2 linked regions of the Ovis aries genome follow. The protein of the gene in region 2 interacts with the protein of the main gene of each other region in a pairwise test. Links are inferred from orthologs where the notes say so. Each region holds a gene or a part of one and is shown on either strand. Other genes may lie near its edges.

The links.
Region 1: the proteins of REL (region 2) and OSTF1 interact in binary tests that used the Homo sapiens proteins (3 or more experiments, as listed by UniProt). The two-hybrid records come from large-scale screens. The link is inferred for Ovis aries from reciprocal best matches to the Homo sapiens genes REL and OSTF1.

The regions. Positions count from the first base shown.
Region 1 is NC_056055.1:61,718,023-61,722,380, forward strand, and holds the start of OSTF1 (osteoclast-stimulating factor 1), read right to left. Parts: upstream 2,837-4,358; 5' UTR 2,650-2,836; coding exon 2,616-2,649; intron 1-2,615.
Region 2 is NC_056056.1:63,118,457-63,122,016, forward strand, and holds part of REL (proto-oncogene c-Rel), read right to left. Parts: intron 1,652-3,560; coding exon 1,509-1,651; intron 1-1,508. UniProt on the Homo sapiens protein: Proto-oncogene that may play a role in differentiation and lymphopoiesis.

The DNA.
Region 1 (4,358 bases), on a different chromosome or scaffold from region 2:
GCTCTAAAGACTAGCATTATGATGTCCCACTTGTGTTTCTTGTAGAGATGTCCAGTTCACGGCAATACTTAAAGAGAACCCACCCATGAGAAGTTCATTTCAGATCTCACTACCACTGTAATAACTCTTCTCAGAGCAAGTAATACATTTTAATTTTATGAACACTGAGAATCTTAGTAATTGATCTGTTCTCTCTCTCTGCTTGAAGCAAAGAGCCAAATCTACAGGCCTTCTTTAGAAACTTTGCAAGTTCTTACAACATGCATGTCTGTAAGATAACTTTCTCTCCAGTTTCCTCTTGTTATTCTTCCCTCCTTCTATAGGACCCCACTTCCTGCATCTTTTTTTTTTTAATCAAGTCTCATTCAGGATGAGGCAGGGGTGCAAACAAACCAAGAAGCTAAGAATTAAATACACCCTGCCTTCCAATTCCAAGTTTGCTTTTGACATTTTCACCCATCTATCTTGCCTACAGGACAAGAAAGTCTGACTGAGGACCAGAGACACTCTCCTTCCCACTTCCTGCCTACCAGGAAGTACACATGATGACAGGAGTTAATGGTAGGCTTTGATGTAAAGCACAGTAACATCACAGTTAAGAGCTCAGACTCTGGGGCCAAACTGCCTGGGTTCTAATTCTGCCCACTCCTCTCCACTCAGTGGCTAATCTTGGGCACCTTAACTTGACCTTTCTTGACTTAGCTTCATTTCCGCATCTGTGAAATGGGAACAATGCAGGTACTGACCTCATAGGGTTATTGTGAGAGGTAAATGAGATAATACACGGAACGTGCTTAGATCAGTGCCTGGCACACTGTAAACGAGAGCCAGGACTATAATAGTCCCCTTCTGTTTTCAACTAAGCCAGGCCACACAAAGTTTCAAGTTGGATTAAAAGTAATATTTCTCACTGTAAATAGGTCACTGACAGATTATTTCTAGGGTGATCTTATTTTAGTTTGGATCTCATTTACAAATCAATGTGGAGTCTGAATAGTAGTCATTTTTTAACCATTTGCTTTCTGATTTACTGAATAGAAGGAGAAAGCAGGAAGGTCAGACAACAAAAATGGTTCCTGAGAGTGTATTTCCAACTGGTCACAGTGTGATCCCTACACCCAGGCAAATACACAAAAACATATCACATCCGTGCCCCTCCAGCTGTAGCACAGACATCACCGAATGTCTAGAGATGAAAAACCTCATGAATGGCTTCTCAGGACCTTCTCTGAAATAAAGTACTCTGTTCAGTTATCAAAGAATAACTCTGTTGTGTTGATTACTTGAGGTCCTGATTTATACTTAAGTTTTAAAAGCTGCCATTTTCCACAAAGGCACTTAGAAGGCAAATTCCTCATCAGACTCCATTTCTAAAGAAACACAGAGCCCAATCCTAGCCATGTCCCACCTTCGCAAACACCAGAGCCAAAGTCCCAGCAAAGTCACACCCCAGTCCACCAAAATTCAGGTTCTGGGTGACTGACTATGTCACATATGCGAGTGTGTACAGAATTTTCAAATAAAATGACTTGGAACTACCACTGCATGATGGTGAAGAAAGAGAACTGGATGAAAGTTGAACAGCTTGACTAAAGTTTAGAAAAATCAAGAAAAAAATCAATCACTGAAACGACTCTCTCAATCAAGGTTACTTTGAAACTGGATGTAAATAGATTTCAGATTTCAGATTTCAGCCTGTAACATACTGAAGTTACCTAAGACCAGGAAGAAAAAAGCTGAGAGTATGTCAGAGCCATTTCTCGTCCATTTTCTACGTTTTCTGTAATCACCTACCCAATGAAGGTATGAGTTTCTTACAGTATCGAACTGAAATGCCTCAGTCCCTTTTAAATTCTTTCTCCCTGTCCCAGAAAATATTCTAGGGATCGAAGAAGAAATGAACAAGGAACATTCGCCAAAAGACCTGCTTTGAGGAAATCTCACCCTTTCCAGTTTAACTCGACAAACTCACAGAGGGAGTAAAGCAAAGGACTTGTTCAGCACTATAAAGTGACATTTCCGAATAGAAATAACTGAGATTACGCTGCCGCAGCCTAGATTTTTCTAGTCAGGAGCTCAACTACAGTTTCCTAAACGCTTTTCCCAAGATCTTAAGGTCAATTTGCTGCTCCTCTCTAAAGTCCCAAAGGAGACTCGCTCACCCACCCCACCCTATAAGCAGCGCACTTCCCGTTCGCTTTGGCCGGTCAAGAACTCAAACTTGACAGTGACACACAGTGAAGGAAAAAAAAAAAAAGAGGAAGTGGATGAAGAAAAAACCATTTCAAGACTTTTTTCTCCCCCCTAAGGGAGATCAATGGCCCTGTTTTCCAGGAAAACGTCAATGGGACGTAGCCATCACATCGATGGGAAAGCTGCAGCGAATGGCAACGCTGAAAAACCGAGGGTGACTCCTCTTTAAAAATGAAAATTTTCAAATTCCTCGAAAATCTTGCGATCTGTCTCCTGGAGCGAACGCAACAAATCCCACCCTGGTGCGTGGATCGCGAAAGTGAGGCTCGGGGCCGGGTACGTGCCTGACCTGCCCTGCCAAGGGGGCAGAGGGAGCGCGGGGCACCGCTACCGGCCCGGGATCCCCCGAGCACCTCCCTTACCTGGTTTGACTGGTTTGGGTGGCGGCTTCGACATCTCTCTTCCTGGAGCGGCTGATTCTGAAGACCACGCACGGAAAGTCAACCAAACGTGCCTCCAGCCGACACTCTGAGCGCCTCAGTTTCTTTTTGTCTGCTTTGCAGCGGTGCGCCTCCAGGGACCGGTGTCTACTCTCGGCAGCCGGACAAACCGAGGCAGGCAAGGCGGCTCAGCGAAGTGCCCCGCCCCGCCCCGCCCCGTGGCCGACCGAGCTGTCCGGGGCGCGCGGCCCCGCAGACGAGGAAGTGGCCGCCGCCTAGCCGAGTGCTAATTGGCTCCCCTGCTGCCCGCTCCGCCGCGGCAGGAGCGCGGGCGGCGCGCACGGCGGCGCGCCGGGAGGCAGAACCAGACGGAGCCGGACCGGGAAGCCGCAGGCTCGCGCCGGGGCCGCCCTGGCCGCGCGCACCCTGGTCGGGAAAGGGCCGGACAGGGCAGGATCGCGCGCGCAGGCGCGAGGCCACGCACGCCAGAGGCCCGCCCCGCCCAACGCCGGCCAGAGCCTGCTGCCGCGTCCGCTCCAGGTGGTACGGAACCTAGGTTGGCCTTCTCTACCCTGGGCAGCCTCTGACCCGGAAGGGGAGCGGGGAAAGAGGCTGTGCGCCTCTTGGTTAACGAGCTTCAGGGGTTGCGGCGGGTTAGTGACAGGCGCGCGCGTAGCGATCGCCTGTGCCGCTTTGCTCGGGAGCAGTCGAACGAACTAGCGCCCGGTGAGTAGTACCTGCCTGACTCCGCGCTCCCCGCCACGCAGACTCGCTGGGGCCTGGAGGTGTTTCCAGAGTGTTCCTGCGCTGGAGCCTGAGCCTGGCCGTGTCTTGCAAGCTCTGTCAGGATATCTACCACCCTAAATAAACTGATAAGTGGCCTGCCCAGGAGAAAGTGTTGTCCTAATGGGGTACTACTCTCACGCCCCCTAATAATCCTTAAAATGGGAATCGGTCTTCTGGAGACCATACAGGTTTTGGGGAGAAGTCACTGGGGTAGGGGTGAGGTCTTGATCCCTATCGGAGGAGGCAATCTTCCTCCTTTAGAGTTGAGAGTGACTGACGGAGGCCCTCGTTGTTGCCTGTTACTGTATAGCCTAAGAATGATTTTCATGTTTTTTTTTTTTTAGGATGGATTAAAAGAAATCAAAAGAAGTAGAGTTTGTGGTACGTGGGAATTATATGAAATTCAAATTTCAATGTCCGTAAAGTTTATTAGAACACAGCCACGCTCATTTGCTTCTGTATTGCCTGTGGCCACTTTCACTTCCTAACAGCAGAGTTGAGCAGCTGCCCACGAAACCCAAAACATTTACGGTCTAGAACTTAGCAGAGCAAGTTTGCCCACCCCAGACCTAGCAGGTTGAATCTCCACTGGGAGGCAGGGGCTAGAACAGACAAGAAACGCAGCGGGTGAAAATTTAGAATAGTATAGGCAATATGATAAATCACTTGTATAGAGGGGGGGAGATAAAAATTGAGAAGAAAACCCTTTGCATGAGAGTCTAGGTAAAATGAAGCTTCGAAGTCTACTAGGAATTAAGTGAAACAGTGATTACAAGACAAAGGGGCAAGGGTTGTGTATTCGGACAGGCAAGCCTTGGTGTTTACCAAAAGGGAGCAAAGTTTAAAAAAAAAAAAAATAGTAGAAAAAGACTTCCCTGTCACATAGAAAGTAATCAAAATGTTGAAGAAAATAAATTGAGTGAGAAGTCCTGAAACATT
Region 2 (3,560 bases):
GTTAAACATGGGAGAGGAAGGAGGAGCTTGTGGGAAGGAGTTAGTATTTACTTTGGAAGCTAGCAAATTTGTAAGCACAAAGCAGGAAACATTTAAAAAACAGCATACAAGGGAGCAAGGCAGTTAAGTAAAAATGGGTGGCTTCACAGGTAAAAGGGCATTAAAATCCTGAACTCTGAATTTAAACTTAATTTGAACAGTAATCAGAAAGTATTTATTGCCTTTCTGAATAAAAGAGAAAGTAAAAATTTAAGAGTATAAGGTTGGAAATTCCCTGGCAGTCTGGTGGTTAGGATTCTGAGCTTCCACTGCAAGGGGCACAGATTTGATCCATGGTTGGGGAACTAAGATCCTGGAAGCAGTGTACTGCAGCTAAAAAAAAAAAAAAAAAAAAAGTGAAAGGTAGGCTAATGTAGAACTCAAGCTGCAAAGCTGTTCAGAACATGTTGTTATGGCAAGGATACAGATCATAGAAATATTTAAGAGACTATATAGAATAAGCTGAATTATGGAGAAGAGTTTAAAATTGCTCTTATAGGAAAGGATTACTATTTTCTTATTTACTTTTCAGTAACATCTCTCCCATTTTAATATTAAAAAAAAAGACTTAGATTTAACTCAAATCTACATTGCTAACAAAAAATGTGATAAAAGATTGGAATTTGGAATTCAATATGTAATTTTGCTACTGGTTTGTTATATAACTTAGCATTTTCTTAAAGTCCAATAGAGTAAATTTTGTAAATAATGTAGTTATAAAACAGTAGCTTAAAATCTACTGATAAAACATTAAATAATGCTTTTCAAAATGCCCTCTGCCATTAAGGTTTTAAACTGTCATTTAAAGAATAAAAAATCATTAAAAATGGAAGAAAATTTATATACAAATATAAACATAGCATAGTTTATAAATACAGTATATTACCAAAGTCATTCTAGATTACAAAATTACTTTCAAATTTTATGCTAACATGAAAACACTGTATTTAAAAAGTGACAATATTTCAAATCAGTCAAGGCAACCCAGAGTATCAGGGACAAGCAATAAAGATAAGGAAAAAAAAGACAAAAATGTTTTCTTTATCCATAGCCCCTAGATTAGCCAACTGACTGCAGGAAGAATTCTAAGTCAGTTCCCAAATACATGTTTTTAAACTCCAGAACAATTCTGCCCGCCTCTGGAAGGAGAGAAAGCTTTTTCCTCATTAGCTTTTTGTCCCATGAAAGGGATAATCATCCAAAAGCTGCCAATGTACACTAACCACTGGATATCACTTAGAGTAACACACAAGTATAACTATCTGCTGGAATGAAGAGTCCACACTGTACTTAAGAAATGTCCCAAGCACGCTCTCCACTAGGGATTAATTAAAAAGAAAAAAGAGGGAAAAAAAAGAAAAGAAAAGCTGGTGGAGATCACTGTGAAGAAGCTGGATCTTTAAATAATTGCTGTAGCTAAAGTATGAAGCAACTAAGAGGCATACACACACACAGGAGCATTCTATTACCTGGATGGATGGGTATGTTCTGTTGTTGTCTGTGCTGTGCTCCCCTGGAATGCTGCCTGCTGATCGCCCTTCACATTTGTATCTAAAACGCATTCCCCTTTGCCTGGGTTGCTCAATTATCTCTATACGTGTGTTAACCCCACCTGGAAATTTTAAAAGGGGGAAGAGTGAAATTACAATCAAAATAATAATGGATTTTAACCATTTTGCTTTTTAGAAAACAGTAGTCTAAAAAATGTTCCCTCTCTACTAAATAACAAGGTTGAAATGCAATTATCCAAGACTGGGTGTTGAAGACACTCCTCTCTCATTCAAACTGCAATCCCTTACTGTGTAAACACAAGTCATTCAAATCATATTTACTGGCTAGCACTTTATCGTTTAATATCTATAACTAATGCTACCATGAAGTTCTGTGATAACCACTTCAGAGATACCCACTTACATGAGACCAAACAGAAGGGTTTTCCCCCAAAATTCTCCAAGAAGTGTCAAGAAGCTAGTCTTCAGAAGTACAATATTATATTCCAAAAGTGATTTTGCTTGATTTTACATTAGGCTTATCTTAAGTGTACTAAGACTGTTCATTGAAAATAAAAATGCAGAAGGAAATGTTAAATTTTTCTAATATCTCCATTGGACTCTTCAGGACTTACACATAGTACATCAAAACAACTTCCAGAAGGGACTTAGGTTCAAAAGAATTTTCAATCAATCCCTCTAAAGTATAAGACACTATAGAGGAAAATAATTATTTACTTTCTGTAATGAATGTAATTCAAAATATACCTTTAGAATGAACTACTGACATACCCAACAATGTGGATAAATATGTAAATATGTTCAGTGAAAGAAGTCAAATCAAAAGTGCACATAATTTTATGTGTTATGATTCCATTTATATAAAACTCTAGAATATGTAAACTAATCTATAATGAAAGAAAGCCGATCACTGGTTGCCTAAGCATAGGGATGTGGAGTGGATGAGGAACTTTGGAGGACAATAGACATGTTAATTACTTGACTGTGTTGATCTCAAAATTGTATAAATATGTCAAAAGTTATCAAATTGCATACTCTATAAACAGTGTACATTAGTTATATGCCAATAAAGTTGTCTAAAACATATGCACCTTTATCCCCTCTTATTATCCAAATCATTGAAATGACAGTTAAATAAAGCACACCAGTGTGCTTACAAGTAGGATATTAGCAATGCATCTTTATTTCGGGGGTATAAAGATGTCTTCCATGAAAAAACCCCAAATCAAAAACCACAACCCCCAAAAAAACCCCTGCCTCGATCGGTTTAGTGATTTCTAAATTCCCACAGTTAGATATCCATTTATTTAACTAAAGGCTTATCCTCTTGTTAGGATGCAAGCAAATCTTCAGAAAGGGTAACACAGTGGGTCGTATCAGTGCAGTATGGGGAAGAGGCCTTTTGAGTCCAACTCAGCCACTTCCTAACATTGAAGACACTGGAAATATCTCTTAAGTTTCCTCCTCTATAAAATGGACATAATAACAATAACACCTATCACATAGGGTGTTGTGAAGATCAGGGATAACATGTTTCTTACCAAGTGTCAGGCATATAACAAATATTCAATAAATGGTTTATTCTTATTCTAGATGCTTTATTGAAAGCAGTAATTTATAGTGGTACCATGACAGTATAACAACTGCTACTTTCAAGGATCTTACAGAACAATGTGGCAAACAACACGAATTATTAGACTATAGAGGAGGGAATAAAAAAAATTTTGTTTATGCTAACAAAATTCTGCATAAAATGATAATAAGAGCAAAAGAGTCAGGAAAGCCTATCCTATGTCAAGGAAAACAAAAGTTACTGAAATACTGGGTGGGGAGTTAGGAGGAGGAAGGAAGAAAGGCAGGCATTTCGAGGGAAAGGGAAGAGGGTGTTCAAAGGTGGTGGCACAGAAAAAAAGAGCTAAAGAATCACACGACAGCCCCAATGGAGCTGAGATACACTTCTACCCTTAGAAAGAAAACCAGAACCAGAGTACATCTGGGGATTGGGATTTC